3 linked regions of the Arabidopsis thaliana genome follow. The protein of the gene in region 1 interacts with the protein of each later gene in a pairwise test. Each region holds a gene or a part of one and is shown in the gene's direction. Other genes may lie near its edges.

Region 1 (10,834 bases):
AACTCTTAAACGATATACAGAGACTTATTTGAAAATATGTTGGTGATTATGATATGCAGATGGATAGCAGAAGAAGACACAATCATAAACTTCCCAACGGTGCATATGAAGAACAAATTACCCATTTGGATCAAAAGAATATAAATCATTTTTCTTAAGTGAAAAATGGAGAATCAGTTTTGCATTATCAAACTCTAAAAGGTTAAAGAAGTCACACGAGTGTTTTGTAAGTGGGAAGTGAAAAAGATAGTGAGACAGCAAAAGGTAAGAAAAAAAGAGAACATGATGGAGTTTGGAGACAAAAAATGATTCACACGTGTGGAAGACGATAGCACACATGCCAACTATTTTGTCGTATTCCTTCACAAGGCAAATAAGGACAGAATCACAAAACCTTTTTGTTGACCGTATATATATATATATATATATATTTTTTTTTTGAAGTACAAAGGTGTATGATAATTATGCATATGATATAGAATCCTAATTTTCATGACTATTTCCTCTCTCTCTTTTTTTTTTTTAAATGTTAAGGACGACTATTCCTCTTCGTATATTAAATTATTAACTAAGAAAATCATTACAGAAAAGTTATAATTCTGGTTCAATCATTTATATATTTCCAAAAGAATGGTCTAATAAAGATATTATGATAGTCTACATCTATTTCAAGCAATTTTACAGTTTTTTTGCTAAATATGTTAATATCATTAATAATGAAGTTGTGGCGTTACAAAGAAAACCAGTACAAAAGCAACTTTGGCAAAAAAAGTAAAAACAAAGCTACAATAGATTTAGGAAATTTTTGAAGACATTAACGGATCCAGAGAAGCATTAGCTTACGCCAACGCTTCCTAAGCAATTTTACAGTTACTAGTTATTTTTTTAATTTTTAACTGGGTGATGGTTTTCTCTTTTCTGAATAGTCTCTAATAGTTTTAGATGTAATAATGAATGATTAAGCAAAGTCATATTATTTCTCCTCCACTTATATGATATGATGTAATTAACATAACAACCCACTGAAATTGATTTAAACAACGTGACAAGACAAGAAAGTTGTGTTGTTTCAACTGAACATCACTAACAACCAGATCTAACCACTAATTGTACTATATTACATTTTTCTCACTATTGTAACTACGAGTTGTTTATGTTAACACAATAGCCTTTAGAATTGATTTGGATAAGAGGGCTTCACTTTTAAGAGATCCATCCGTTAAGCCTGTTAAAGGCCCAAAAGTTGCATAATAGAAAAGCCTATATATTGGCAAAGACGGGCAACTGTTTAGGCAAATAGGTATTTCTTATGTTATCGCCGCCGTTGAGCCTTTTCTTGTTTTTATTCCCTATTTTGAGTTTTTCAAGACCTTGATTTTCATTTATTGTTAGTTATTTCTCGTTTGGCTGATGATAAGTCCAGCCCGAAATTCCGTTGTTATAGCTTTTTTTTGGTGAAGTTTGCATGGCCATGGAGAACACTAACTTTTTTTTTCATGTAAGTAGACAATTTCAGAGATACTAATCCAAGAGATGGCGGATACGTTTTACAATCACGAATCTTGTATGATCACTAACCATTGGAACAATAAGAGTATATAATGAGTATATCACCATTTAGTTCTAGTGGGTGGTGATCATATAAGATTGGTAATGGTAACAGTGAAACATATCCCCCATCTATTGGGATTAATTAGTCTCCCTGAACAGTCGTGAGAGAACCTTTGTTTGCTGCGGCAGACACTAGAGACTGTTGGAAGACCTTGAGATATACAAAAATGTAGAATTATTTTGAAAATAGGTGATGTGGATCTGGTACTACTTGATTTACATATATGTATTTGCTTCTCTGCTTACTTGTAACGAAAGCTACATTATATAATATACCTTTGATTTAAGCAATCTTGTTGAATAGGTTTCTCTGGTTCTTATGGAGAAAAACTTAAGATTTTTGTAATCCATCATACATTTTGGTATAGTTTTGATCTTATATGTATTGTGCTTTGACACAAGCTAACTATTTTCTTGTTTCACAGAGCGGGATCAATTCTAAAGCAGCCATGAGTCTGGCTCGCTAAAGAAGCCTATCGATGTGGATCGTCCAATGGAGAGAGAGCATGTGACATGAAACCTTCGTTGTATTGGGCCAATATCTTTTGTAATTGGGCTGACTAAAAATCATGATAAAGTCCGAGGGAGACTATAAATAATTTACTCATTGTTCCTGCCGACATTACACGTGGCGAAAGAGTAGTTATATGCCAGAGAGACTCCTCTAAAATGGGGTCACGTGTAGCCTGTATCGACTATTCAATAATGCCACTCTCGCTCGGTGACACCGTGTCTCTTACTTTATCATTAGTCTTTCAAATTAACTATATAGTCCTTCAACATGTAGTAATTCATCTACTTATAAATTGCTGTTACCCAAATCTCGAGTATCTAAAACTTATACTTTTCAGACATTGACCAAGTAGTGAATCAAATCCTCACGTTACACTATATTGTAATCTTTTTAAAACACGATCTAATTAAATTTTGTTTTATTTCATAAACATAGATTAGTTTAGAAAACGCCATATGCAAATGTGTATCACCTAATTCTTGGGACCTTTCAGAATTCATATATACACATAACAAACAGTCTTTTCATTTACTTTCTCTATTCAATCTCACACGCGCTAAACCATAACCCGATATTACTAATGACGAACTACGGTGCGATTCCGACGTCGTCTCATGCATCTCCGTTGGTGGATGTCGAGTCTCTCTCACGCGCTAAACACCGTATCAAAGCCGGGCTAGCCACGCGCCGTGCTTGGAGAGTGATGTTCGATTTCCACTCCATGGGACTGCCTCACGGTGTCTCCGATGCGTTCACAAGAATCAAGACCAATCTTGCTTACTTCCGTATGAACTACGCAATCGTTGTCTTGATCGTTATCTTCTTCAGCTTGATCTGGCATCCGACATCGCTCATCGTCTTCACCGTCTTGGTCGTTGTTTGGATCTTTCTGTATTTTCTCCGTGATGAGCCTATCAAGCTGTTCCGGTTTCAGATCGATGATCGGACGGTCTTGATTGTTTTATCGGTGTTAACCGTCGTTTTACTCCTGTTGACCAACGCGACGTTTAATATTGTTGGAGCGCTTGTGACCGGAGCTGTGTTGGTTTTGATCCATTCGGTGGTTAGGAAGACGGAGGATCTTTTCTTGGATGAAGAAGCGGCGACGACTGAGACTTCTGGGCTGACGTCATACCCGTCGACTTAAATCGTTTCATCTCGAAATTTGTGTATCTTTTCTATTTTTGTATATTATCTTGTTTTTTTAATTATGCGTAATCAATTTTTATTGGTGTGAGTTTGGTTTGAGACTTTCTCTCTCTCTTTTGTTTTCTGAGTTTTGAGCTCTGTCTGAAGTTTGAACAATTCTAATTTGTTATAATTTTTATTACTCCCTCTGTCCATAAAAGATAAATTTTTTAGGAAAAATATTTGTCTTACAAAGATAGAAATTTTATATTTGCAATGCAAATTTTAAAATTGTTTTCCCGTTTTACCCTTACTAAATAATTAGATAAATATTTATTATTATTTTTAAAATATATTAAGAGGTTAAAATTATGTTTATACAATATTTCTTAAAAAATGTGCAATTTCTAAAAAATTCATCTTAGTGGGACGGAGGGAGTATTTTATATTCGCAAAACTCAGGAATAATTTCTTGGAATGATTTATTAATCTGAAATATTTAAAATGATTTAATCTGAAATACATAATAAATAATCAAATTAATAAGTCAAACATTATAAATTCAAAATGGGTTGTAATGAATATTCCCTTTTTGCATTCCGTAACAAAAAAATAATCAATTTTTGTTGTAAAGTTTATTCAGGTTGGTTCACCTTCAAAGTAGGAAAAAAAGTTTGGTCTTGATTTAAGTTCTTTTTTCATTTGGGTCACACAAATGAGCAATTTGAAGCAAAAATCCTTGATATATATGCAGGCCTTATTCAAATTTCCAATGTAAAGATTTGAAGCAAAAATCCTTATATATAATTAGGTCTTTCAAAAGGCACAAATATTCTAGCCCATGTAATTCTAAACGGACGCCATTAGATATGTAAGAGCATCTTCATCAGTAGTCTTTCAATGAGATACCCAATAAAAAAAATATAATAAAAAAGGAAAAAGTAAGAGAGAAGGAAGAAAAAGTAGGAGAGAAGGAGAATTAAGTTTCTTGGAGGAGAAACTTTGAGAAACTATTCTCATTCAATTTGGACAGCTGTTATCCTATTATTAGTTTAACTATTAAATAACAATTAATATATCTGTCTTAATTAAAATATTAATATTTTAATTTTTTGAAAAACTTTCCTTACTGATGGAGATGGTCTAACAGTATTGAGCATACACATCTTTGTACGCGTCAGCTCCCTTCGCCGGCGCTTAATACCACCGCCACACTTGCCGCCAATTAGAAGCAAACCGGTTTAAAGTGGCGTATCACCAACATTACGATCTTAACTACGTCTATCGACATCATCCTCATCCCCATAATCTTATCCACTCAAGACTCAAGTACACTGGACGTGGCAGACCAAGTTTTTCTATTTAATTCTTCCAACTTCATATTCCAGGAACTCGATCGACTTTCAGACATTGACCAAATTGAATCAGATCATAACGCTACATCCTTTTATATATATATAACATCACGCTACATTATTGTAATAATATCACAAAATTTCTACGGAAAAAAACTCGGTCTAATGTTTTAACACACCATCTAATTTATTTGGTTTTATTCCATATGCAAATTCAAGAGACCTTCTTCATATATTATACACAGAGAGATAAAACAATAAATCAGAACAGTTTTACATTATTTCAATCAAGTCATCTTATTCACTAATGGCGAACAACGACGAGATTACCACGTCGTCTCATGCATCTCCGGCAGTGAATCACGAGTCTATCTCACGCGCTAAGCAACGTATCAAAGACGGACTAGCCACGCGCCGCTCCTGGAGGGTGATGTTCGATTTACACTCCACGGGACTACCTCACGGCGTCTCCGATGTTTTCTCAAGAATCAAGACAAATCTTGCTTACTTCCGTAGTAATTACGCAATCGTAATCTTGAACGTCATATTCTTCAGCTTGATTTGGCATCCGACCTCGCTCATCGTCTTTACCGGTTTGGTTTTCCTATGGATCTTCCTTTATTTTCTCCGTGATGTGCCTCTCAAGGTGTTCAGGTTTCAAATCGACGATCGTGCGGTCTTGATTGGTCTATCGGTGATTACCATCGTTCTACTTCTATTGACCAACGCGACGTTTAATATTGTTGCGGCGTTGATGGCCGGAGCTGTGTTGGTTCTGATCCATGCGGTGATTAGGAAGACGGATGATCTTTTTTTGGATGAAGAAGCGGCGACGACTGAGACTTCAGGACTGACGTCACACCCTTCGTCTTAAAACGATTGATCTCCATTTTTATGTATATTCTATTGTTTTTGATCATCTTATGTGTAATTATAGTTTATGGTGTAACCGTGTAAGTTTGGTTTGATTCTCTCTCTGTTTTTAAGTTTTGAAGTATGAACAAACTTAATAATGTCAAAGTCTTCGCTTCTTGTTTTTGGCGGGCTGCTTACTTTTATCACTTTTTGGCGCCTTATTGGGCCATTCATTAAGGCCCAATAGTATCAGCCCATAAAATTCAAAAAGGAACATATTTTTACATTTAAACAGTGTGTCTCACACTTCCATTTACACGTCAGCTCTCTTCGCCGGCGCTTAATACAACCGTCAACCTCGCCGCCGGCTAGAGGAAAATGGCGTATCACCAACCGTACGATCCTTTCTACGTCTATCAACTTCATTCTCATCCTCATCATCTTCCGCCGCAGCTGCCACTGCTCGCCGACGAACCTGGGGCGATTAACACTCTCTTTGTCTCTGGCTTGCCTAATGACGTTAAGGCTCGTGAGATCCACAATCTCTTCCGTCGTCGTCATGGATTCGAATCTTGTCAGCTCAAGTACACTGGACGCGGTGACCAGGTTTGTAAAAATCTCCAATTTCTGTTTTTTTTTATTCCCATTTTTAGAAAAGCTGTATACTTTGTGATTCTATCGATGTTTAAGCTTTCTGAAGTTACCTATCTTCAGGTTGTGGCATTTGCAACATTCACGAGTCATAGATTCGCCTTGGCTGCAATGAATGAGCTAAATGTAAGATTCACTTTGATCGAATTGTGTGACTCTATTGTTACATTGTGTTATTTGATTGTGGTGAAGCATTTCTTTTAGGGTGTGAAATTTGATCCTCAAACAGGATCAAATCTACATATAGAACTAGCTAGATCAAACTCTAGAAGAAAAGAAAGGCCAGGTATTTTCTAGACTTTACTCTCTTCTTACTATTGAGTTAGTGTGGTTGGTAAATCGATCAATGAGTAATGAACAGTCTATGTGGATAGGAAGTGGACCTTATGTTGTGATTGATAACAGAAACAAGGAAATTTCTAAGTCTCAGGATGACCAGAGTGATGAAGGTAATGTTCTGGTTACCTTGTGGACTCCTAATTATTTAAATGTATGAATGCTTTATGTTTCTGCTTGATCATTGTTGATGCATCTAGGGGATAGCGATCCAGATGAGGTGCAGGAACCTGGAAATAGCGATTCTCCAAAGGAAAACGATACTACCAAAAGGTTGAAAATGACAATTAGAAGCTTGGTTTTGTAGTTTTTTAGGTCAAAAGAAGAAGACTAATGTATTCTGATTTCTTTGCAAATTTACAGCGAAGCGGATTCTGAGCCAGATAGTAAAGCACCATCTGCTAATGTAAGTCCAAGCCAAAAATCTAATCTTTTTAACCAGTTGAGATATCTCTATTTCTCAAGTTCGTTGAAGATTAATAAAATCTTATTTGTTACTTACTGTAAGATACTTCCATATAGACTTCCTTATGGTTCAGTAGCTTACTGATAGATTTCTACAGGGGCACTTAGAGAAAGCATCTGAAGGAGGTTCTGGTGCTCGAGCTTGTTCGACCTTGTTTATAGCTAATCTAGGGCCTAATTGTACAGAAGATGAACTCAAACAACTCCTATCTAGGTAACCTTGTACAATGACTGAAACCTACAGCATTAGGGTTTGAATGTTTCTTCAAACAATCATTGGTTTTTGCCTTTCCGAAAGTCGATTGATCTGATCCATTTGCTTACAGATATCCTGGTTTCCACATTTTAAAAATCCGAGCTAGAGGCGGAATGCCGGTTGCATTTGCTGATTTTGAGGTATAAGTTGTTATACATGCTTTTGATTTTGTCTTTGTAGTCTATATACCCACTCTCACCAATTGCAGGAAATCGAGCAAGCTACTGATGCCATGAATCATCTTCAAGGGAACCTCTTATCCTCTTCAGACCGAGGCGGCATGCATATAGAGTAAGAGTAGTTTTTCTTACACTTGTTCAACAATTAGTTTAAAATTCAAATTTTGCCAGATTATTACTCTCATAGTCATTACAGCTACCCCAATGTCACACCCTGGTTTTTGGTTCTTCCAGATATGCAAGATCAAAGATGAGGAAACAGTAAAAGATTATCATAACCACAAAGCCTCACTTCTCAAATGAAGAATGTGGTGGATAATGTACCATATGCCAATGGTAGTCTCTTATGAAAACAAGATATATAGAGATCATAAGCAAATGAAAGCTGTATTTCTTATTTTAAATCTTCACTTACTATTTGTTGTCATGAAGATGAATCCTTCTATGCTGACACTGACTTAAGAGATACATATGAATATATTTATTCAAGATTTACTAATAAGATCTCCAAAATCTTATGTTGTTATGAGCACGTTGATAGAAAGAGACAATCAGATATTTGTCATGATCCAGTGAGTAAAATCCATGGAACCTCTGAACGTACTGCCCCACCAAAGTCCTCGCCATCTTTGGGCTTTTCTTGTGTGTTCAATTTTGAAATTTTTTGATAATTGGTGATGCGGATAAGTAGAAAAGATACTGAGGACCAACGCATCACTGTATTGACAGGCAAAGTCAGATTCAAACATGACTTCTCTCTCATGCACCATTATTACAATTTTGAAGACTTCCAATGTCGATGTCGTAAGGAGAAGGAAGCCCTCTCATTGTTTTGTTTTCTTCTGCAGAACAATTCTATTGACTCTCCTAAACCAATAATTCAAATTCGAAAAAAGGAGAAAAAGCCTCTCTTGTTGTTTTGTTCTTTTAATACTCCTTTACCAAAAACAATTTTAAATTCCTTGATAACATATTTAGCAACTGTTTTTGCATCTTACCCCACTATACAAACAAAAAAAGCTGTGTTGCCAGCTTTGGACCACATCACTTAAAACAGAGGACTTTACTAAATACCCTATCAACTAAACTTATCATAAAGCAAAGTAGTGTGATTAGTATTGCTTGTTATGGTTTAGTTCAAACCTCTGGCTTCTTTCCCTCTCCCTCAAAGCTAGTCTTGGCGTTTCAACAGACAGCCTTTCACTGAACCTATCCGAGCCATCATTCGTTAGCTGACCGCTGTAATGATCCGCCCAGAACCTCCCGCTTCGGTTGCCTGCCTCTGAACCTGGAGTTGATGCGTAGTTTCCATCCATTATCATATCTCCTTCCAGTATACGCAACACCTTCATTATTTACCAGAAGTTTTAGTATCATCAGAAACTTAAACTGAATGATCCTGAGACTGAGACTGAAGAGTGATTTCAAGAAGAGCTTTTGGTTACCTGAGACATGCGTGGCCTCAAATGTGGATCTCTACGTATGCACAACGAAGCTGCATGAAGCATACAAATGACCTCACTTTCTACAAAACGGTTCCCAAGCCTCGGATCGATAAGTTCATCTATCGCATATTCTTCCAGTAGAGGACGTGCCTGAGATCACAAGCCACAAAAGGAGAGTCAGTTCTGTTACTTTGCTGAAAACTAAAGATATGAAATCATTACCCATTCAGTCAGGCATTGCTGGCCTTTCGGCCTGGTGATATCAATGGCTTTGCGGCCAGTGACTAGCTCAACTAGAACAACCCCGAACGAGTAGACATCAGCTTTTTCTGTGATTTGCCCGCTTTGAGCATATTCGGGAGCTAGATAGCTGCACACCAACCAAGCAATTTCTTTTAGCAACAGACAAATTGTTAAGTTTCAGGAGCAAAATGATAGCTTTAGTAGGTGTCTCACCCGAAGGTTCCTATCACTCGTGTATCTACACCCATTTCCCCATCAGGCTGCCATCTTGCTAGACCAAAATCTCCAACCTGATGATATTATCAAAGTTGACTCAGGACGAAAAAGCATATGAAACAGTGGATATCTGCTGTTACGATGAATGAGCAAGACCATATTTATACATACCAGTGGCTCATTATCATGAGTGATGAGGATGTTGTTAGGACGCATGTCTCTGTGGACAATACAGCCAACTCTGCACTCTTCGTGAAGATACCGAAGACCTCTTGCAGCTCCAACAGCAATCTTTTGCCGTGCTGGCCATTCCAGAGTTTCCTTTTGACGACCTAGAAAAGAGCTTGATACTGAGCAAACATTTTTCACCACAAGAGCTTCAATGGAAATTTTAAGCAACATTTTTTTTTTGGATAAAATATGAATTAGTATTACCAAGGCACATGTGAATTTTAAGCAAATATTACCGTATAGATGAGAGTCAAGTGAACCATTGCAAATGTATTCATAGACCAAGAGCCGTCTGCTGTCTTCAATGCAGAAACCAATTAGCATAACGACGTTTCTGTGCTGAGCACAGCTGAGAACTTCCACTTCGGAGCAAAACTCTACATCTCCTTGAGAACTGGCCAATTTGTGTTGCTTTACTGCAACTACCTGGCCTTCTGGTAGCACACCCCGATGAACAGATCCATAACCACCCTCAGCCAAGAAGTTAGCCTGTGAAAACCCACCCGTTGCAAGCTCTAATTCAGCGTATGTAAACAGCCTTGGGGGTTTCCCAAATACTGGCGCCTTGTGCTGGCAAATTGAACAGAGAGGAGGTGGACCAGGAGGAGCACTTCGAGAGAGTGATATTGCATCTCTTACGTTTCCACTAAACTCTAAATCCATCCTTCGACTAGACGACAACCCAACTTCAACATCAAGTTTAGAGAACTTTTCAAGCAAAGCCTTTGTAGTGGATATTTGTGCCCTGTCATCATTTTTCCATAATAAGCTTTCTTCGGCCTCCTGGGATGAGTGGCGATGGGTGCCAATATATTCTGATATCCATGGCTGGAATCTCATACTCGTTGACGCTAATGATTGGTTTTCACTCTCTGTTTCAGAGCCAGAATCATCAAGACCATCATTCTCCTTGATCACCAATGCTCCATCCTTCTTCATGTATCCGTTCATTCCCAATGTGAAGAAAGGTGAAGTTCCCAGGTCGGAGCTCGACACAGATGAAGTCCCGGCTTCTGTACTTGTGAACGGTGTCCCCAGCTCAGGGCTGCTAGTAGGAGTGACAGGTAGTCCTCTATCAGCATCTAACAATCCTTTAGTGTTCTTTGAGTGTTTCTCAGATGCTGCTTCTGGTCCAGATGGTAAGGGACACTCTTTTCCAGCATCTTTCTTAGGAGATCCAACAAGGTTTAAGCGTAGAACTTTTGCCTGCGAACGCTTCATCACCACAATGTTGCATTGCAATTCATCCATACACCGTTTCTCTTCCTGCTTGAGGTGTCTGCAAAACAAACCACACAACACCAGTGTAAATTGGTGAAAGTAAATATAATTGTGTAACCCATCATTAA
Region 2 (11,544 bases), about 15 Mb from region 1:
ATAATAAACCACTTTTCTTTCCGATTTACACAAATACAAAAGCTATGGAGCAAAATGTGTTGTTTCTTTTTCATTATTATTGCTATAGACTGTTTCATACACAAGTTCCAGTACAACTTAAAACACCATGATTTCACAGACAATTTCACTCTGCCGACCTTATTTGGGCGTGTGAGTCGTCAATGTCAAAGCTATAGTGTCTTTATAAATTGAGGATGTATTCTTTTCTTTCTTTTTTTTGTCAACAAAATTATTAGGATTAGCAATCTTATTTTCTACAAAGAGATACAACAAGTGTATTTGACATAACTCTTATGACATATCTGATCAACATGCAAAATATGACTTTGAGCTGCAATTTAAGGTACAATAGTCTAGCTAGATTCATGAATCTTCTCTATAAATCTTTTTTTTTCTTTTTTTTTTTAATGTTCTATCTTTGAGCTGTAATGTAAAAAAAGATGGGTGAGACCAAACTTGCTATGTTTTGAACTAACTGTTCCTCAAAATTTGGAGGACCACTTGTTTGGCACTTTTGGCTTGCCTTCATGAAAAGTCCAAATCTATTTCATAGAAAGGGAAATGAAATAACGATCGCCTCGTGATTTTCAGTTTTTTTTTTTTTTTTTTTTTTTTTTTTGTAATCAGTATTCTTGTGAATTCTCCCACTATCTAAACTTTTAAAAAGTAATATGATTGACGTAGTTTCTCTTAAAAAATTTAAATAAGTTTTTTTCCATTGGATATGTGTCTTGGACTAATATTTCGACCATTAGGTAGGTCAGAAAATATGGATTTCGAGTCTATAACTTTTGGTGACCTTTTTATCGCGTCAATCGGATTTGAGAGATCCTTAAGATAATATGCACAAAAGTAACTAACGCTCCAAAACATCTAATAGAAAACCGTGTGATCATTATATTAATCTTAAACCACAAACATACATAATTACTTAACCATGAAATGGTCGAAATAAAGTGTGATTACAAAATTTATAGCATCTTCGAGGCAGTCCACTGCTTTAGATCCTTTATTTCTACAATTTCAGATGTCTCTTTGCCACAATCTAACTCTTAATTTTTTCATACTGTATATGATAGTCATAGCTATTATCAACAGTTTTATTTCAAACTTGACGAACAATCTAAACTAGATAAAAAGTTAGGAAAGTCGTAAATACCAAGCAGAATTGAGATACCACTTCTTGGAAAAATCAACAGCTCTATTTAATGAAAATATTGCCAACTTATATCGAAATACTTTGGAATATATGAGAAGTCATAGATACGTGTCAATTTGGTTGCACTTGTAAAACCCATCCACGCCGACGCAGCATTTGTCAACGCCCATCTCTCGCGTCCCACGTTTGACTCACATGATTCCTGCTTCGGTGATAAGCCACTCTTATTTTAGTTTGCAATTTCCGTCTGTGAGACGAGTTGTTTCTTTTTTTCTTCTCAATACTAAATTTATGTTATTAGTTTTGCTTGAAATAAAACTGATAAGAATGAGTTATAGCAACCACAAATTGTTTTTGAGTAGATTTTTACTTTCTATACTTTATTGTAAACATGAACAATTCAAAGACATAGATGGTTTCTAATTATAGCACCCAAAATCTAATGGTTTTTAAATTTTCTACTAAAAAAACAAATATCATAAGAAAAAAAAAAAAAACCAAATACTTCCACTCAAGGTCTAGTCACACGTGAGATGCACCAAAATTACAAGTAACAACATAATTACTTTTTTGAATCTTCAAACCAATACATTTATAATTTTTGCCTATAAATTTCTTCACATATCTTCTTCATACTTGAACTATATCACATGTTCCAAATATAGACGAGAACAAAACAAAAAAAAAAAGTCGTCGATAAGAGAGTCCTTTGAAATCCCCAAAATGCCCTTCAACATAACCTCCGTGAAAACCTCATCTAACGGAGTATGGCAAGGCGACAATCCTTTAAACTTCGCTTTTCCGTTACTCATCGTCCAAACGGCGTTAATCATCGCCGTCAGTCGCTTCCTCGCCGTCTTATTCAAACCTCTCCGTCAACCCAAAGTCATCGCCGAGATTGTCGTACGTTAAAAATTACACTCTAACCCCACACACACTAACTATTTACAATTTTACCATAATAATCTTCTTAATTTACAATTCTGCCATCGTCTTCTTCTTCAGGGAGGGATTTTGTTAGGACCATCGGCTTTAGGTAGAAACATGGCGTACATGGACCGTATATTTCCGAAATGGAGTATGCCGATACTCGAATCCGTCGCGAGCATAGGACTTCTCTTCTTCCTCTTCCTCGTCGGTCTAGAACTCGATTTATCATCGATCCGACGAAGCGGCAAACGCGCTTTCGGAATCGCAGTCGCTGGAATTACACTACCGTTTATCGCCGGCGTCGGAGTCGCGTTTGTGATCCGTAACACTCTCTACACCGCCGCGGATAAACCAGGTTACGCCGAGTTTCTCGTTTTCATGGGAGTCGCACTCTCGATCACAGCTTTTCCGGTACTTGCGCGTATTTTAGCAGAGCTCAAGCTTTTAACGACTCAGATAGGAGAAACCGCGATGGCTGCAGCCGCTTTTAACGATGTAGCCGCGTGGATTTTACTCGCTTTAGCGGTTGCGTTAGCGGGTAATGGCGGTGAGGGAGGTGGAGAGAAAAAGAGTCCGTTAGTGTCGTTGTGGGTTTTGTTATCGGGCGCTGGGTTTGTGGTTTTTATGTTGGTTGTGATCCGACCCGGAATGAAATGGGTCGCGAAACGTGGATCTCCTGAAAACGACGTCGTACGCGAGTCTTACGTGTGTTTGACGTTAGCCGGTGTTATGGTTTCCGGTTTCGCGACGGATTTAATTGGGATTCATTCGATTTTTGGAGCGTTTGTTTTCGGTTTGACTATACCGAAAGATGGAGAGTTTGGTCAGCGATTGATTGAACGAATTGAGGATTTTGTTTCCGGTTTACTCTTACCGCTTTATTTCGCTACGAGTGGTTTGAAGACTGACGTGGCTAAGATTAGAGGAGCTGAGTCGTGGGGGATGTTGGGTCTTGTTGTTGTTACGGCTTGTGCCGGGAAGATAGTCGGAACTTTTGTTGTGGCGGTGATGGTTAAAGTTCCGGCGAGAGAGGCGTTGACACTTGGTTTCTTGATGAATACTAAAGGTTTAGTGGAGCTCATTGTACTCAACATAGGCAAGGAGAAAAAGGTTAGTTTTGTCTTCCTTTTTTCTGATTTTTTAAGGTTCTTGTTTACGCTTTTAGTTATCTGATGAATATTATAAATATAAAAAACCTAGTAACACTAAAGTTATTTGATCATGTTTAGTGGATAAAGCATATAAAACAAAATACGATTATTATATTGATTTAATCGCATCTATACCTTTATTTTAGGGTGTTTAGATATATTTAAAAATTTAGGTTCTAGTTGGATCCATGTGTATATGCGTCCGGTCCGCTCAATATTGGTAGGCTGGTCGGGGATCCGGAATAGTAAAATTGCTTATGTTTTATTTGAACATTAACCAACCGTTGTATAAATTCAAATTGATAGCTAGGCAGGCCCGGCTCTAGGGGAGTGCCAGAGGTGCTAGTACACAGGGTCCTCATTTTTTTTTCTTAATTTTAAGTCTTCTAGTTTGCAGTTTTTTTTTTTTTAAGGGGAAAACTACAAAAAAAACAACCACCAAAATAAAAGATAATAAGTTTAAAATAAAAATACAGTAAACACATGTCACATAAAGTTATTTTGTTTAGATTTAAGGGCTATTTTTGTTTGTAGCACAGGGCCCAATAAAATATTGAGCCGGGCTGCTAGGTTTACTATCACTATAATAGACACGGTTGCAATTTGATAGCTAGGTTTGCTCTCAACCGTTGTATAGTAATATTAGTCACCATAATACAAATCTGCAGTTCATTAATCATAGACTGATGGACACGGTTGCAATTTGATAGCTAAGTTTACTATGTGCATCGAAGATGATGCAGTTAGCAATGGTAGCTTCAAAACATTAGTCCGTGATTCTTTTGTCACCTCCGAAATAAACATTTTTATCTTAAATATATGTGCAAGATTATACTATAATGCTTCTGGAAATATGTAGTATATAAAATTTTTTGTTTAAACGTGTCTTCCCAACAAAGATTATAGTTATATACTACACTTTTATTATAAAGGCGTTTCTTATTGTTTTGGGGTAATAAAGAAAAACTGATCAATTAAGGACTAGTCATATATATGCATGCATGAAAACTTTATTTTTATTTTTTTTTCTGCATGAAAACTTTATACGAATATACCTTTTCGAATGGGCCAATGTTTACGTAATCGTCACTTACTGATCCACTTGCAGATTTATGATCTTCTTCATAATGCAACAATAAAGTGAAATAATGATTACCCATTAATGTAGTAAGTGTGGTTATTTTTAATTAAACTGTTTGTACGCGGGGTTGACTTTAACCAGGTACTAAACGACGAGACGTTTGCAATACTAGTGCTAATGGCACTCTTCACAACGTTCATAACGACGCCTACTGTAATGGCCATTTACAAGCCGGCACGTGGCACCCACCGCAAACTAAAAGACTTGTCGGCGAGCCAAGACTCCACCAAGGAAGAGCTTCGCATCCTAGCCTGCCTCCACGGCCCAGCCAATGTCTCCTCCCTCATCTCTCTCGTCGAGTCCATCCGAACCACCAAGGTAAATTACCTTTCTTTTATATTTTTACGTTACAATAATCTATATTTAAATTTGTAAATCTATGATAAGAGTTATATCAGAAAATTAAGATATCATTGAAATGCTCAATGAAAATGTATCCTACGTATAATTACACACATTTTGTATAGTTAAAATTAAAAATCAGCTGGGTAATAATTTATAATCTTGGTTAATAATTTAAAAAGTCGTATTTGTTTTGGCAGATACTACGGCTAAAGCTGTTTGTGATGCATCTGATGGAACTAACGGAACGGTCTTCGTCAATCATAATGGTGCAAAGAGCCCGTAAAAACGGACTTCCTTTCGTTCACCGTTACCGTCATGGTGAGCGTCACAGCAACGTCATAGGAGGCTTCGAAGCCTATCGTCAACTAGGCCGGGTCGCAGTCCGGCCCATCACCGCAGTCTCTCCATTACCCACAATGCACGAAGACATTTGCCACATGGCAGATACCAAGAGGGTCACAATGATCATTTTACCTTTCCACAAACGATGGAACGCTGATCATGGTCATAGCCACCACCACCAAGACGGAGGAGGAGATGGAAACGTACCGGAAAACGTTGGTCATGGTTGGCGATTGGTTAACCAAAGGGTTTTGAAGAATGCGCCGTGTTCGGTGGCGGTTCTTGTAGACCGTGGACTTGGGTCCATTGAGGCCCAAACTTTGAGCTTAGATGGGTCGAATGTGGTTGAAAGGGTTTGTGTGATTTTCTTTGGTGGGCCTGATGACCGTGAGTCTATAGAGCTCGGCGGGAGAATGGCTGAGCATCCGGCCGTTAAAGTTACCGTTATTAGGTTTTTGGTAAGAGAAACGTTGAGGAGTACCGCCGTCACTTTACGACCGGCACCGTCTAAAGGCAAGGAGAAGAACTATGCCTTTTTAACAACCAACGTGGATCCAGAAAAAGAAAAGGTAAATCTCTTTTGATCCCCTATGTTTATATACCAGTTATGACAAATATAACTATAGCTTTCTTTCTTGGAAAAATAATTATAGGAATTAGACGAAGGGGCATTGGAAGACTTCAAGAGCAAATGGAAAGAAATGGTGGAGTACAAAGAAAAGGAACCAAACAACATCATTGAAGAAATACTGTCAATAGGACAGAGTAAAGACTTTGATCTAATAGTGGTTGGAAGAGGGAGGATACCGTCGGCCGAGGTGGCGGCATTAGCTGAGCGTCAAGCTGAACATCCTGAGTTAGGTCCTATCGGAGACGTGCTCGCCTCTTCGATCAACCACATCATTCCATCAATCCTTGTGGTTCAACAACACAACAAAGCTCATGTAGAGGATATTACGGTTTCCAAAATTGTTAGTGAGTCTTCTCTAAGTATTAACGGAGACACAAATGTATGATAACAATAAATAAATTGATCTAGTACTTAAACTTCGGCTTAATGCATGGTTAAAGTGGTTAGTTGAAGATGTAGTTTATCTACAATATATAGATAGCTCTTGAGTAAGAATTGTAAGATCGTCTACATATAAATAACCATGATTGGGCATCTTGGGCATCGTCTACATATAATTTCATATTTGGACTAAATAGTAAATACAATTATCATTTGGGCCATTTGAGAAACTACCGGAAACCTCTCACGTGCCAGAGACACGTACCAAAAAAAACCCCGAACATTTATTAGGAAGAAGAGAAAAAACGGAAAAGAAAAAAAAACGCATCAATCTGAGCAGCACAAGTCTGCGAGATTTGGATTAGATCTGATTCAGGTTGGATTGATCATCGTTCGGAGCTCCGGGAAACATGGCGGCGACGAGACAATTACGAACTCTCCAATCTCAGCCTGAAAACAAGGTATGTGTCGATTGCGCTCAGAAGAATCCTCAATGGGCGTCGGTTTCGTACGGAATCTTCATGTGTTTGGAATGCTCCGGGAAACACCGAGGCTTAGGCGTTCACATATCCTTCGTCAGATCCGTAACCATGGATTCATGGTCTGCGATCCAGATTAAGAAAATGGAAGCTGGTGGTAACGAACGGCTCAACAAATTCTTCGCGCAATACGGAATCGCTAAGGAGACAGATATTATCTCCAAGTACAATTCGAACGCTGCTTCTGTGTATCGTGACCGGATCCAAGCTTTAGCTGAAGGTAGACCATGGAATGATCCGCCAGTTGTTAAGGAAGCGAATAAGAAGCCTCCGTTGGCTCAGGGCGGTTACGGAAACAACAATAACAATAACAATGGAGGATGGGATAGTTGGGATAACGATGATTCTTACAAATCTGATATGAGAAGGAATCAGTCAGCGAATGATTTCAGGGCATCGGGAAATAGAGAAGGTGCACATGTGAAGTCAAAGTCGTCGGAGGATATCTACACGCGATCGCAGCTTGAGGCTTCTGCCGCTGGGAAAGAGAGTTTCTTCGCGAGGAGAATGGCGGAGAATGAGTCTAAGCCTGAAGGTCTTCCTCCTTCGCAAGGTGGCAAGTATGTAGGATTCGGATCAAGCTCGGCTCCACCACCGAGAAATAATCAACAGGATGATGTTTTCTCCGTTGTTTCTCAGGTGAATTGAATGAATGTTTTGCAATTCCTTTTTGAATTCGGTGAATTACGTTTTGTGTGTTGATTCGTGTTTAAAAATTGCTAAGGGTTTTGGAAGACTGTCTCTGGTTGCTGCATCTGCAGCTCAGTCAGCTGCTAGTGTTGTTCAAACAGGAACCAAGGAGTTCACATCCAAGGTAACTAACTATCTGTACTCTCTGCTTGATTTGCATAGAGTTTGTGAAATATCTAGTTACTGCGTTGCTTGATGCCTCAACGACACGTCTAGTGAGAATCTTTAACTCTGTAGAAAGCACAATTCTTAGATGCTCTCTGTAGAATTCTTGTTTACCATAATACTGCTGGCAATAGAGTTTTGGAAAAGTGGAGTCAAAATCAGATAAGAAACCATTTTATTGCAGGTGAAGGAAGGTGGGTATGATCACAAGGTGAGTGAAACTGTAAATGTAGTTGCTAATAAGACAACAGAGATAGGACATAGGACATGGGGAATCATGAAAGGAGTAATGGCAATGGCGACACAGAAGGTAGAAGAGTTTACTAAAGAAGGATCAACAAGCTGGAATCAGCAGAGTGAAAATGAGGGCAATGGTTACTACCAGAACTTTGGAAATGGGAACAAAGCAGCGAATTCATCTGTTGGAGGAGGAAGGCCACAATCATCATCGACAAGTGGTCATTACAACAACTCGCAGAATTCAAATTCTTGGGATAGTTGGGGAGAGAATGAGAATAAGAAGACAGAAGCAGTAGCTCCAAAGGGGTCATCTGCTTCTAATGATGATGATGGTTGGACTGGTTGGGATGATCATGATGCCAAAGATGATGGGTTCGATGGTCATTACCAAAGTGCAGGCGATAAGAAATCTGCTGGTCACAACGGGAAATCAGACACCGCTTGGACTGGTGGAGGTTTTCTCTAAGGGTAAGCAACCTTTAAGGTCATGTAGCTTTAACAGTTAAATATAGCAGTAACGTTATATTCATCTTTCTTCGGATAGGTGATTCAGAATGCCGGTGAGAAGTGTATAATTAATTAAGGCTGGGACCATCGTGGTCTGAATAGAAGATAAGAATGGTCTTCATCTTAAAACCATGTTCATCCATACCCACAGGTCTGCGTTTTTCTTCATAAGTTGGCGGTTTCTTGATATCTTTTCTTCATGTGTTAAGGAGTAACGTATTTGTACAAGATCCATAGCCGATTGTTTGCTAAAGATTTTCGGTTTTAGTCTTTCACAATTTAAATTTATCTTCAACTGTAACCACAACTGAACATTCTTTTTCTCAAAATTGCCTTGTTCCGTTGTTCGTAGCGTGATAATGTTTTGGTTCTCGAAACGCATAAATTATCTTGTTTTGGCACTATTCTATAAAGGGTAAAAGTATATAGTAGGTTCAAAGAATGTTTTGGTGTGATCCATACAAAATCCACTAGTGGATGTGGAAGTAGTGATACAAGTGGCAATGATAATTTATCTACGAGTGACGAAACCGTCATCTACTGATACATATGTGGACTGATCTGCTTGATTGAACAAACATACACTTATACCAGAAAAGTTTTAGTGGAGAATCGGAACCCCACTGACCCCAACAATAATGACTATAGCATATACAGTATATTGTTGAGGACACGACGCTTGTGGTTGTGGTTGAAATTACGACCGAGGATAGTTATTGAAGCATAGTGGACTGACCATAGGACCACAGGATTTGACCGGGTTGGTCTGAAATCTGCCAAGTTAACCGGAGAATAAAAGAGATCATGTCTAGGTTTTTCTCTTATAGTCAATAATCTGAAAACGCTAGCATCAATGCCAAAAACAATCGGAGCCTACATAATACATATACAAACAGTAAGGACGAGAGACCATAGAGACTAGAAGTGGACGAGAGAGGATGACCCAACGAATGAGGAACACCTAACACCGCACACTCCATTGTCGTTTTGTTTCTGCATGTTGGTCTTCGAACATAGTATTAAATGGATGAATTACCCCAAAACTTTATAGGAAATCATATTCATAACATCATACATATCTTCTACGAAATTGGGAACGATACTTTTTCTAAAGGTATCTATCATCTTGACCGGTAGGTTCTCCTCGGCTGGCGACTGTCCAAGACGCCGCCAAGAGTGGCCAAAGCGTCCTGAAATTTCCTGATTTTAAGCAAACCTTTCACCATTGAAACCTCTTCCTCCGAGAATCTAGCTTTCTGCATCACCATGTTCACTAACTTGACTAGTGTTTCTTCCATTGACAAAGTGAGAAGACCTTCAGCCAACATGTACAAAGAAGAAAACTCAGGTACAAATCCTTTCTCTAACAGCTCAACAAGAAAGTCCACTGCTTCACGGATTGGTCCACCTCCATTACATAGCCCACGGAAAACGATTCTGTAGGATACTGCATCTGGTGGAGCTTCATTCTGTTCAAGCATTTCTCTAAACAAATTTATAGCTTCTGTTGTTTTCCTCTTTCTAAACAACCCTTGAATCACCGGATTATAAGCATGCGGTGTCAAATTAATCCCTTTCATCTGAATTGACCTCAAAAGCTTACTTGCAACTTCAACTCTACCAGCTTTACACAAACCGCTTATCAAGGTTCCATAGGTCACAATGTCTGGTTCACACCCATTTGAGGTCATGGCTTGCACGATATCCGCAGCTTTCTTTATGTCACCTCCTCTGCAGAAATGTGTTAAAAGCGAGTTGTATGTGTACTTGTCAGGTTTCTGTCCTTCCATAATCATTTGATCCATGAGCTGAGCCGCGTCCTCTACTCGCCTGCTTTTACAAAGCCCATCGATGAGTGTGTTGTATGTAACAGAGTTTCTTGAAACTCCATGTACTTCCATCTCATCAAATATCTCCTCGGCTTCTCTAGTCTTGTTGGCTTTGCAAAACCCATCAATCAAAGTGTTGTAAGTTATCACACTCCGTGCACAACCACTCAATTCCATTTGTTTAAGCATGTTCAGAGCTTCATCTAGCTTCCCTTTGGAGCATAAGCTATCAATCAGCATATTGTAAGTGAACTCGTCAGGCTCACATCCTTTGCTCCTCATCTCTTCAAACAACTCCATCGCAACCCGGTGATTCCTAGTCAAACACAAACCTTGGATCAAAGAGTTAAATGTACAAACGTCAGGAAGGATCCCTTTGCTGGTGAGAACACGGGCAAGCTCCGTAGCTTCCTCGACCTGATTCTCTTTACATAACGTGCTGATCAAAGTGTTGTAAGTAACCGTGTTCGGAGAACAATCTCTAGTAATCATCTGATCAAGAACCTCCACTGCTTCTTTCACCTCTCCAAGCTTACACAAACCCGAAATCACCGAGTTATAAGTATACACATCTGGATCATACCCTTCTTGAAGCATCACATCCATAATCTCAATAGCATGCTTCACATGCCCTGCTTTACACAAACCATTAACTAACGTATTAAACGTGTACTGATCCGGAAAAAACCCGTCTTGATTAGACATCTCCTGAATGAAATTGAGAGCGTCTTCGACTCTCCCTTCCTTACAAAAACCATGAACAATAACATTAACACTCACATTAGACCATGAACAACCAAACTCAACCATCTGTTCCCTAATCCTCAAAGCTCCATCCAAGTCCCCTTCTTCAATATAGCCTTGCATAACCGTTGTAAATGTCTTCTCATCAGGAACAAGACCGTAACTAGGCATATCCTCCAACATCAAAATCGCAGGTCTAAGCTGATGAGCTCTACACAAAGCTTTGATCAAAACATTAAACGTAGATACATCTGGTTTAATCCCCCAGACACTCATCTTCGCGTGAGAAATCTCAACGAGTTTCAGACTATTCCCATCAACGAGAAGATTCAACATCCGGTTATAAAAATGGGTATCGGGTTTTAACCCGAATTCGTCAATCATCCAATCAACAACACTTAAAATCTCATCTTGCAATTCGAACTGAGCATAACTCTCGATTAATATCAAGAAAGTAGAAGTACCCATTTCGCATCTGGAACTCTTCATGTCTTCAAGAATTTTCTTCATGTCATCAAACGAACCAGACCGACCTAGCCGAAGGAGAATCTCTTCGTATAGAGCAGGTTCAGGTGAGAAATTTGGCTTCTTAGAGGCCAGATTAAAGAGACGAAGTGCGGCGGAATCATCAGGCTGGCTACGGAGTGAGTCGAGAAGCTTGACATCGGTAGAGGAGAGAGCTGCTGAGTGAGGAGAAGCGAAGGAGATGGTAGAAGAAGGAGGAGTTAG
Region 3 (11,369 bases), on another chromosome or scaffold:
TCCGCCACAGACCATTGAAATTTCAGGGCTAATTCTTGATCTGTAGCAGTAGGACTTTCCTGAAAAAGACCAAAGTGGCATTGACAGGGAGCTTCTTCAGAAGGTCGGTCAACATGTGCTTCTTTAATAAGATAACCAGAAGGTAATGTGTCCTTCCACCTCTCAACTAAGAAGCGGAATGTCGATTCTGCACACAAGAAGTTGCAGGAATATGAATATTTAAAAGTTATTAGATGCAAATACGGAACTTGGAGTTGAACAAACGGACTTATCTATTCACATAAAAGTTCAACTAGCAACTAGTACGAAAGGGATGAAAATGCTAATTTGATTAAACAGTCAACTTTCTAAGTGTGACCATTGGTAACAAATAAAAATCAAGGGAGAGTGAAAGGTTTTAGTTTTCATATGAAGATTGCACTACCATCAAGCTACAATGAAAGATTATACAACTCTGAGAGGCAGATACATACCTGCTGCAAGATCAGACTTGCAAAACTCCCAACCTTCTCTGAGGCAGAGAGCTGTTTGTGGAGGATAACGCTTGGCAATTGCCACTTCCTCACGAGAGAGATCTAAAGAAAAATTTTAAGGTTATCATGGACCACATAGACCTAGATAAATGCCAAGCTACATCCCAAGAAACAACTTCTGAATACTTTCTAATGTATCAGTAAAACACTTCATTCCTAAATCTTTTATATTTAATCATTGCGGTTATTATTTTTTAAAATACAGCCAGTATGTTAGTTGTGTTATTCCCACAATTCCAAGAAATCCAACCGTTCAGAAGTAGTTTCCATCCAGATTATCAAAAACAATTGATAAAGATAAAATCATTTGTGTTTATCTCCATTGATCTAACATCGCAAAATCTCCTACCTCTTCTAACATGCTATTGCTCAGATTTCACCATCAGAAAAATTCTTACTTGGAAGGCCATATGATGAATGAAAACTTAGACATGCTAGTCATCTTTCTCATGAAACGATCAGTCTTAAGCAAACTACAGCACTTCGTTCTACAAAAGAGTACCTCTGTCATTGAATTTCTTCAAGGTAGGACCTACGAGTAGTATGGATGCCGCTTCCAAGTGAGAAATCTTCAGCAATGGATTTTCCTCAACCCGCAGATGCTGTAAAAGGAAAAACACAATATGAAATTACAAACTACGTATTAGTATATATGTATTGAATTAATGGAACATTGTTTCTGTTATAACAGGGCCAAATGCCATTACCAAAAAATTAAGTACTCAAATTGGACCATTGGTTCAGAGGAGAGAATTTCCCATAAGTGGTGGTTTTTCAATCTTTTATACTAGGTAATCTCATGTCCCATAAGATGTTTTATTAAAGCAGTGCATGCGACAACCAATCAGCCAAATAAGAAATGTGTGAAAAAAATAAAAATTGGGAACATAAAGATTGAAACCTCAAGAACTGGTAGATACGGAAAGTCCTTCAGAGTTGTTATCTTGTTCTTACTTGCTGCTAGTACCTGAGAAAAAAAAATTTATAAGATCTCTAAAAAACTATGACTTGTAACAAGGTACTGAAAACAACCTCAATTCTGAAACAGAAAATCTACCTGAAGCCGGGGCTGGCTTGCCATTGCAAGTGACTTTAATTTATTTTGAGCAACCGAGAGAAACTACCATGGGAACAAGAAAGGTGATAGTTGGAAAAAGTAAGGGGCAATCCACAAGTATGTAAGTATGAAGACTTGATAGCAATTATTTGGCACAAAATTGGAACAAGAGGCTTTGTAATTTCTGATGCTCACCTCTAAGTTTGGAAGTTGAGGCAGACTAGCAAGTGAAGTTATCTGATTTCCAGCAAGATAAAGTTGCTGCCCAAGTAATATAAGATTTAAATGTTCATCAGATAGCACTCATGAAGGAAGAACCAAGGATAGAATGGGAGAGAAAGAAACCTGCAGCATTTTGCAATTCTCAAGTGGTTCAAATCCAGGCCCTTTGAAATCATTAAAACTCAAATCCAGAACCTGAGATTAATGATAGTAACAGAATCATAGCTAGTGTGAGCATATATATCTATTAAAAACCAAGAACCCCAGGAAAATGAATTTACTGACCTTGACTCGATTCAATATCTCAATACCTTCCAGCGTAGATAGGAGATTGTCTCTAAGATAGACAAACTGGAAAGAGTAGAAGTAGAGGAAATTAAAATAAGTTGAATACTCGCATAAATGAGGCGGCATATTTAGTGTCCAAAAGATTGTATTTGTCGTTCGGAGATTTTTAAAACTAGCAGCAGGAACTCACTAAGAAGATTCAAAGTTTTTCCTCGTGAGATGTAAATAACTAATCCTCCCTACTTCTATTCAAATCCACAATTGGCATATATGTACATAAACATCATTGTCACAAAGCATTGCACTAGAACACTGTGAAGTTACTATGGAAATATAAGTTTACCTCTAAGTTTGGTGATAAGTGTAAGCCACCAGAGGTTAGACTGCGAATCCTGTGGCCTCTAAGATCCAATCTCTTAAGCAATTACAGACATCCATTAATCAACAACCACAGAAAGGATTGAACCTATTGTATGAAAATCTAGCAAGTACAAAGAGAAAGTGAATTTGTACCATGTCATCGCCAGCTTTAACCTCCACCTTTGGAAGAATAATGAGTCGTGAATCACGGCTTTCAGGGGTAGATGTTTTCTTCCGTCCAGAGAAGTTGGAAGTCCGGTCTAGAGGTGACGAAAATGACTTTGATCTTATACTGCTAGAAACAGAAGGTGATGATCCCGCAGAGGGAGAAGAAACTTTAGAAACTGTCCTCCCACTTGTGAGAGTAGAGTGTAGTCTTCCACTACTAGTCCTGCTGCCACTACTGTCAACTGATGAAGATGGAGCTCTTTTCGAAGACACAGAAACACTCATGGCTGGTCTAGCAGAAGACTCAGGCTTACTTAAACTAAACCCAGTTGACTTTGTCAAACTCCGACTACCTGGTGATACGGGGACAGACTTTTTACTCTCGGAAAGGCTTGGTTTGGATACAGTCTTAGCAGAAAGAGAAGACACAGAGCTCTTCCTCAATTCTGGAAGTGATCGTCTTACCGGATCAGTACGTGAGGCAGTAGTACTCACTTGCTTAGGCAGAACCTTAGAGGTACCAGCTAAATTCTCTGTTACTCCTCCAGTACTATTTCTCCTGATAGTCACAGGCGTAGTACCCGAGACCCGTAATGAAGAAGACGCAGTTGGCTTTATTAAATTCGAACTAATAACTGGTTTCTTTTTAGTAGAAGCAGCTCGATTTGACACCACAGACACTGCAGAAACACTCTCTGGGCTTCTGCTTTCATTAGCTATAGTTGCATTGTCCTCTTTCACTGCATCTACATTGGTTTCCACAGTTTCTTCCTCAACCTTAGCTGCTACTTCCTCCATAGTGAAATCAATCCAAACTTATGCAGATACAAAAGAAACTCAAATCAGAAGAGACGCATGATCAAATCATTAACAAAAAAAAGGAAACTTTATTCATTATACACAATCTCTCTACTTTATTTGTTGTATCCAAATTTCTCCGAAGTAAAAATACAGAATCAAATGACCAAGTGGCCCACGCACATTGTTTGGAATGGAACGCGCATGTAACAATTACTCTACTTTATTGGGTCCGGTCATAACAGGATTTACTAATAAAAAAAGTACGGACTTTAGTAGATTGTCTAAATTCAAGAACACAGACAAACAGAGTTTCTGGCTTCTTTCAGCTAACACTGTCGGTTACCTTCTACGATTTTTTGGTCCTTTTGTGAACAACCAATCCGCATTAAGCAGTGTTTATTTTTGAAAAAAATGTGAAATTCTTGTGAGTGAAACAAGCAGACGAAATTGCAGAAAGTGAGAGTTTTTAGCAATGAAGAAATTCGGGGAAAATAAAGTTTCTTCATTTAAGGAAATAAACCAATAGTAAGACAGGACAAGGAAAATAAATACTTACTGCACTGAACAATGAAGTAACCAGTAAAATCAAAAACCCATTTTCACCGTTTCACAATAACTCCGGTGGCGAGAATCCCGGCGACGATTCCGGCCGTTGAGAACTTGTTAAACAGAGCAATAGAGGCTGAAACAGAGAAATGTAGATCTGGATGAAGCAGAGAATAAAAAACGCAGCTCACTGATTGAAGCTTTTTTGAATGGAATCGAACAAAAGTGAAAACGACGATTAAAAATTGAGGGAAAATAGCTGGAGAGAGAGATGTTGGCGAAAGAAAAAGAAAAAAAAGTAAGGAACAGTGTAAACAGTGTGTAGCGGAAGAGTGTGTTGTGTAATATGTTTAACCCAAAATATACACCCCTATATTATACTTTAATTTATGTTTTTCACCCTCTTATTTTTTAAAGTTCCATGCAAGTACCTTACATTTAAAATTATCATGCGATGTCGGAAACTCAATTTTGTTTCTAAGTTTACCCGGTGAAAATGATAAAACGGTTATAAAAGTATGAGACAGTTGTGGATAATTATAGTAGTATAGGGACTATAATGAAAAGTAATTATCCAGAAGAAAAGAGAGGAACATTATAAAAAGAGAATAAATTAGAGAATTTGATGGTGAGAGAGAAAAGTTTGAAAATTTAGAGAATTTTAAATTGGCGGAAACCGTAAAGGCAGAGTTAAATGGCAAGTGGACGTTTTTCGAAAACTGATGAAATTGTTTTTATTTATTTAACCAACGATAAAATGATGTGCTCAAAAAGTCAAGAAAACAGATTCCTTTTTAAAAAAATTTAAATTTTTTGTGTTCTACTTATCCTAAATTATTACTCATAAAAATCTTCAATTAATTTTAAAATAAGCTCCACCTAAGAATCAATTAATGTCACTATCTTTTATAAGTAATCAAAATAATTGCATCCGCCATTCCTTCTACCCAATAATTATTAGTATAACCCACTAAATATTATTATCCCCTACCTATAATTTTGGTACCTTGTTTTAATCAATGAAAAGAATCGAAAAACAAAAATATGTATAGCCAGAGTGGAACATAAATGAAAGTTTGAAAAAAATCACATTTGTTGATGATGATAATCTTTTTAACTAAAGTATCCCAATGAAAGCTTCATATCTTAATTCTTGAACATTATTCATAATTCATCATCATCATCATCTTTTCTTCAAGTAGCTTCAACACAAGTCTATTGCCCAACTACTATCTATAGTTTAAGCATACGTATTTATGTTTCTTCGGTTCAATTGCACAAAACCGAATTTGGTTCGGATTCAATTCTATTATTTCGGTATTCCTACAGGTTATTTCGGTTGGATTCGGTTATTCATTCACACGGTGAGGATAATACTATCCAGATGAAGGATAGGAATGATCTGAACGCCAAACAAAGACAATTAGTGATCAGCGAATCGCCGCCTTTTTGAGTCGTCTTGCAGCAAAGTAGATTCCGCGGCAAATCACAGAACACCAATCGGAATAATCACACAAGAACAAAACTTGTTAATCAGGAGAAGACGACAGAGAGAGAGAAGGAGAGAGATCTTCCATGGCGGATTCGGAAGCAGATAAGCCACTGAGAAAAATCTCAGCCGCTTTCAAAAAACTAGCAATCATCGTGAATTCACCGAATCCGGAAGTTCCTGTAACGCAATTCTCTCACGCTTGCTCTCTGGTCTCGCCTCTCTTTGGTTGCCTTGGAATAGCTTTTAAGTTTGCGGAAATGGACTATGTTGCCAAGGTTTGTTTATGTAGTAGATTTGAATCAAAGTCCGAATCTTTTTCTAGTTGTGTTCACTTTCATGTACTATTGAGTATATTGTGAGATGTTGGAATTGATTTAGTTTCTGTAGTACTCAGACTGAATTTTGCTAATTTGATGGAAATGGATGTTGTGTTTGTTTATCTGGAGGATGAATGTTTTGGAAAATGAAATGTTAAAACTTGTGAATGTGACTATAGGTTGATGATCTTGTGAGGGCGTCGAGTTCGATATCGACATTAGTGGTAATGATGGACAAAGATATTGAGGCAGATTGTGTAAGGAAAGCTGGTAGTCATACGAGAAACCTTTTGAGGGTTAAGCGTGGTCTTGACATGGTCAAAGTTCTCTTTGAACAGATCATAGCTTCCGAGTAAGTGATTCTTCTGAACTCTCTCTTATTTGAGTTCTTGTGAAAATTTTGATCAAATGCATTAGCCGTGCCAGTTTGTAGGATGTGTGATTTAAATATGGACACTGAAGTAAATGAAAAAATGGAGTCCTGTTGTAGTTTTCTTTTATTTTTGGTCAAGATTAGAAGATTGAAATGTAGTTTGATATCTTTTGCAGAGGAGATAACTCCTTGAAGGATCCAGCAACTAAGTCTTATGCTCAAGTGTTTGCTCCCCACCATGGATGGGCTATACGGAAAGCTGTTTCTCTTGGGATGTATGCTCTTCCCACAAGGGCTCACCTACTTAATATGCTCAAAGAGGATGGTGAGTTCATCAACTAGTTAATATGCTCAAAGTGGATGGTGTGTTTGATAAACTAGTAGTTTAAGTAGTCAGATTAGTTTCAAGGTCTTCACAGGATTAGGTAGATATCACGGCAATATTTGGCCTGTATAAGTCCTGGTATCATAAGAGAGAACTCTTTGAGATTCACATTGGTTTTAAGTTCATTTGGCAGTAGGATATTAGATTTTGAATTTTCCAATACTATCTCTGTTTGAGATTTCATAAATCGAGTTTCTTCTTCATTATGTTCGCTGACGATATTGTTTTTTTCATTTATTTATGAATGTTGTTACAGAGGCGGCGGCTAAGATACATATGCAAAGCTATGTCAATTCATCGGCACCATTAATCACGTATCTTGATAATCTATTCCTCTCCAAGCAACTCGGTATTGATTGGTGAAGAGCCTGAAAAAAAGGCATAACTATTGTTACTCTTTAGACAAAATAACCTATGTTCTCACATCAAGCTATGTAATGTCATAACAACAGCGACGAAATACATTGGAATAAATTGAGTATGTCCTTAATCTGTCGTTTTATCTCTTCTTTTAATAAACACAGTTTATCTCATAGTAAGCAGAAGAAGCTTTACACGGGTTGTAGGAACGTATTAAACGGTTTGTTTCAATTTCACTCTCTTTGGTTTTGAAATTCTAGTATAAACCAAAGTAGTTGGTGCTTCAAGTTGTGTTACTTATTCAACAAAAAAATATATTATTTTTAATTTTTAATTTTCGTAGGTAAGATTACATAGTAACAAAATGTTAAATTTAACAATGTAAGATTACTATGTAAATGCATGGGCACCAGTAATCACGTATCTTGATGATATATATCCCTAATCCAAGCGAGTCGGCATTTATTGGTGAAGAATCTCAAGACTCATAGTCATCGCTAGTTAACAATCTTTTTCGGACAAAAGCGTCTTCGTTAAAATTCGGCATTATTAACCTTTTTGCCCTTTTAAAATCAGAAAATTTCTGTTTTACTGGTATTTTTCTTTGACGATTCAATTTTTTAGTTGTATTATATATATGAAAGAAGCTTAACTCTCTCTCACAGCTTGATATGTCAGTATCTAAAACAAGCAATACATAATTTAATTAATTTATCATAAAATATTTATGATTAAAAAGTAAAGAAGATAAATATTAAAAAGCTAAATGTCTCTTATAATTTAAAAATAAAAATTAAAAAGGATTGAAAAGTAAAGAAGATAAATATAAAGAAACTATTAGTATCTTATAAATAAATAAATAAACTAAAAATTGAAATATAATTATTTTAGTTTTGAATTAAGAAAATATTAAATATAAAAAAAATTAAACATAAAGAAACTATATATATCTTGTAATTAAAAAATTAAAAAAAAATGAAAAATGAGAAAAAAAATATAAACTCTTCATCATATAATTAATGAAATTTAAAAACTTATTGCTTTTAATTTTTTGTACAATAATTAAGGAAATTTAGAAATTAATTATTAATTTTAGAAGAAAAATGTTAAAATAGTTTAATAGTTTTGATTCACTAAATACATGTGTACATATATGATGGTATGAGGATCAAGAAAGTGCCGTAAAATGTAAAACTTCCAATGTTCCTTAGTGAAAAATGTTAACTTTTCTGTTGACAAGACGTGTATATAAACATCACCTATACCGGAGAAGAAGAAGACACAAAACAAAGTTAAAAAGAAGAAATTTTTGGTGCAGTGAATTCGAAGAGCAATATGAAGAATATTGGTTACATTATTATAGCCACCTTGCTTGTTGGTCTCCTCCTCATCATGGCTCTAGTGGCGAGTTTCTATTGGGCCAAACGACATGTCAAATGTTGTGGCGGAGAGGGACTGTCGTCAAAGGATGTGTTCAATTTACTTATACAATTGGTTGCTTTTATTCTGCTTTGTGGTTTATTTGCTTATTTGGTATTTTTGGTTTAGATTAGTAACCTAAAGCCATAGCAGATCGATAATGCGACTCTGCAAAATTTTCTCTTTATACCGCTGCTTGATAATTAAGTTTTGTTTAATTTAATGATATTGTACCTCTATTCTTGATATTTCAATGATTTTGTTATACATTACAAATTTGCAATGTTATTGTTACATGTTACTTCTATATATATATATATAGAGAACCGAAACGAAAGCAATACAGATACTATGCAAATATATAGTAGAGATAGCAAAATCAACAAATAAAAACATGTAAGAAGAGACATGAGTTCATGAAAAGAATTAAAAATCACATAATTAACAGATGTACCAAGCCTGCCTAGAGTTCAAGACATGTCAACAAATTTGTTAGCTTCTTCTTCAGATCTAGCGTTCGATAGGAATAAACTTCTGAATGCTGTTGCCACACCTCTAATAATCATATCTCGATGGCTTATGTCATAAGTGTCCACAGGATGAAGTATGAGTGATGTGTGGAAACTGCGGTGTTGACCATAACATCAAGAAACCAACCTATATCAGCCCATCTTGGCATTATCTCTGATGGGATGATTTCGTTAGTTGGCTGAACTACACAGCAAATAAACCGGACTATGTCGATCAAACTTCTTCAAGAACCATATCTGATGCCGTTTCTGGCTTCCCAAATTTCACATTTTCAAGCAAAAACCTTATTTGGGTTTCCATCTCATGAATGATCCGGAGAAGGAAGTACCTACTTGAAGTTTTCAACTGATAAAACTGTGAAATGTCAGAGCAATGGTTTGAGACCATATCAACCCCACAAATAGTACTAATTACTACAAACATGCACACTAACGATCTTATAATGTCAAAACACACAAATTTCAAATGGAAACGTACCAAGAAAACAAACAAGACAGAACATTAAAATCACTAGTGATCATCATTATAACAATCAAGCACACACCAAATACATAAAACGAAAGTATAGTCTTCAAAGAGCACAGGCAGGCTCAAACGCGAAGGGACCAACAGAGAAGAGAACGTAGTCGTGTTCACCGATGTTGATTGTCTTAGAAGGCTTAAGCATAGCACCGGTTATTCCATTGTTGAGCTTTGACGGCACGGTGCATGTCATCGTTGCAGTCGTGGGTCCAGGATTCGTAGGCCAAGCCCGGCACGTGTGGAAAGCGTAGGTGGTGAGTTTTTTTGGGGCTAGCATGAAGAAGTATCCGTTTTTGTCTGTTTTTGTCTCCATTGTCACACCTCTCTTTGTGTTGTTGCATGCAAGCTTTACGGTCGCTCCTATCATTGAAAATAACGAAAAGATTTACTTGATGCATGAAAGCCAAGTGGCGTGAGAGACTCGACGAATGCGAAATGCACAAGTACCATGCATATTGTAACATTTTTTTTCATATGTGTAAATTTTTTAAAATACAGTTTTAAGTTTTCTAATAATTTGTCGTTTGGTTTGAAAAGAAGAGAACATGCATGCAACACTATAAAAATACAAATACCACTATAAGTGGAATTTACCTTAAGCATATCAGTGCTTATTTGAGTCACACTAATTTTTGGATTAAAATCGTTAATTCAAGTTCCTTCATTCAGAAATATGTCTACCATGCATCGTTAGCTATAATGAGACTTCCTAAACTCAAGACTATTTTTTGGGGGCAAACACTACTTCATCTCATATTTTGTAGCCATCAAGTGGATAGAACATATCTAATATCTTCTGCGAGACCGTATAATGCATGCATACATGCTTTAAACACCGAAACTAATTCAAGAATCAAAATGTAACTTGCTACATGAGTTAATATGAAGACTAAATTTCATGGAATTAATTAAAAAAAATTGCGGTAAATTATGATGTTATGGATCTAGGAGATTACATGGTAACTAATTTTATTTTTTTTTGCTAATAATATAAATATTTTATTGAAAGATGAAAAAGGTTTAAGACATACAATTAAGTAAATCCTACAATTTTGGTCCCATGGCAAAAAAAAGGATAAAAACATGGTAACTAAATTTTTTGAAAGAGATTGGACGTTATAATGTAACGGACCTTGAAGAGGAGATGCTTCCAAGAGAGTATCGACGCCGGAATACTTGCATGACTTGCAATAAACCATGCCTTCAACTGCCACAAGTCTCCTGCTCATCTTAGCCGGCGATGACGGTGGAGTCATTGGAGAAGCGGATGAAACTGCATTGGTGTAGATGAAAGTCAAGGAAATAGAAAGGAGTAAGAGATATTTGAGAGCTTTTGTTACCAGACCCATTTTTGTTCTTTGTTAGTGAAAAAGATAGACAAATGAGATTGTCTCATTAAAGGCCATATTTAAAGCACTAGCCAAAGCCAAGGCATAGTTCTCACCAAAAAAAAATAAGTGATAAATAATAATATCCGTTTCTCACATAATTATAAGAAAATAGATTTATGCTCCTTTTTAGTTTTTAAAAGAGTTTAATTAGTTTGTTTTGTTTGTGTATTATTCTGTGGAAATATTATATATATATATATATATATCTAACTCTACAATACCATCAAGGCATCAATATCACATGATATATGTATTATAACTTATGTTCCCTCTTAACGAAAGAATACCATTAATATATGATATATCATAATTATTATTTTCTTAAAACATCATTTAAAATGGAACGGAAGAGTAGTTTAGATATTATAGTTTCGACTTCTGATTTTTGTTATGATATTTTGTACAGATAAACAAACTATTCAAGTCATTCATTAAAATAAAAAAAAAACAACTCAATAACATACTATTGCTTAATAATGCTCCTTCATATATAGTAATACTATTGTCAATGGATTGTGCAAGCCAAAGACATGACCTTAAAGTTTTCTTATGGTGATAGAGCCATGGAGGGAAGAGGCTATAAATTAATTAAAGTAGTTGGTGC

What was found.
Region 2: the proteins of PRA8 (region 1) and AGD6 interact in binary tests that used the Arabidopsis thaliana proteins (3 or more experiments, as listed by UniProt).
Region 3: the proteins of PRA8 (region 1) and ACD11 interact in a two-hybrid assay, tested with the Arabidopsis thaliana proteins (one study listed by BioGRID).

The regions. Positions count from the first base shown.
Region 1 is NC_003074.8:4,487,640-4,498,473, reverse strand, and holds PRA8 (PRA1 (Prenylated rab acceptor) family protein), read left to right. Parts: upstream 1-1,673; 5' UTR 1,674-2,705; coding exon 2,706-3,272; 3' UTR 3,273-3,495; downstream 3,496-10,834. Other genes in the region: CYP90D1 (cytochrome P450, family 90, subfamily D, polypeptide 1), read left to right, coding at 60-144; PRA1.F4 (prenylated RAB acceptor 1.F4), read left to right, coding at 4,916-5,482; AT3G13700 (RNA-binding (RRM/RBD/RNP motifs) family protein), read left to right, coding at 5,842-6,123, 6,178-6,240, 6,319-6,400, 6,489-6,563, 6,651-6,723, 6,814-6,856, 7,014-7,129, 7,242-7,311 and 1 more; AT3G13690 (kinase with adenine nucleotide alpha hydrolases-like domain-containing protein), read right to left, coding at 8,463-8,696, 8,796-8,945, 9,018-9,165, 9,252-9,328, 9,426-9,586, 9,722-10,764. UniProt on the Arabidopsis thaliana protein: May be involved in both secretory and endocytic intracellular trafficking in the endosomal/prevacuolar compartments.
Region 2 is NC_003074.8:19,900,387-19,911,930, reverse strand, and holds AGD6 (ARF-GAP domain 6), read left to right. Parts: upstream 1-6,340; 5' UTR 6,341-6,511; coding exon 6,512-7,279; intron 7,280-7,364; coding exon 7,365-7,454; intron 7,455-7,679; coding exon 7,680-8,201; 3' UTR 8,202-8,203; exon of another isoform or gene 8,204-8,279; 3' UTR 8,280-8,684; downstream 8,685-11,544. Other genes in the region: CHX20 (cation/H+ exchanger 20), read left to right, coding at 1,904-2,083, 2,186-3,220, 4,484-4,720, 4,945-5,658, 5,743-6,105; MEE40 (Pentatricopeptide repeat (PPR) superfamily protein), read right to left, coding at 9,364-11,544. UniProt on the Arabidopsis thaliana protein: GTPase-activating protein (GAP) for ADP ribosylation factor (ARF).
Region 3 is NC_003071.7:14,624,875-14,636,243, forward strand, and holds ACD11 (Glycolipid transfer protein (GLTP) family protein), read left to right. Parts: upstream 1-5,111; 5' UTR 5,112-5,550; coding exon 5,551-5,742; intron 5,743-5,963; coding exon 5,964-6,136; intron 6,137-6,333; coding exon 6,334-6,482; intron 6,483-6,798; coding exon 6,799-6,905; 3' UTR 6,906-7,208; downstream 7,209-11,369. Other genes in the region: AIR9 (Outer arm dynein light chain 1 protein), read right to left, coding at 1-187, 474-575, 1,036-1,135, 1,435-1,500, 1,591-1,653, 1,786-1,851, 1,936-2,007, 2,098-2,163 and 3 more; AT2G34700 (Pollen Ole e 1 allergen and extensin family protein), read right to left, coding at 9,424-9,734, 10,507-10,723. UniProt on the Arabidopsis thaliana protein: Exhibits selective intermembrane transfer of ceramide-1-phosphate (C1P) and phytoceramide-1-phosphate. Does not transport ceramide (Cer) or GalCer, suggesting a requirement for phosphate in the headgroup for functionality.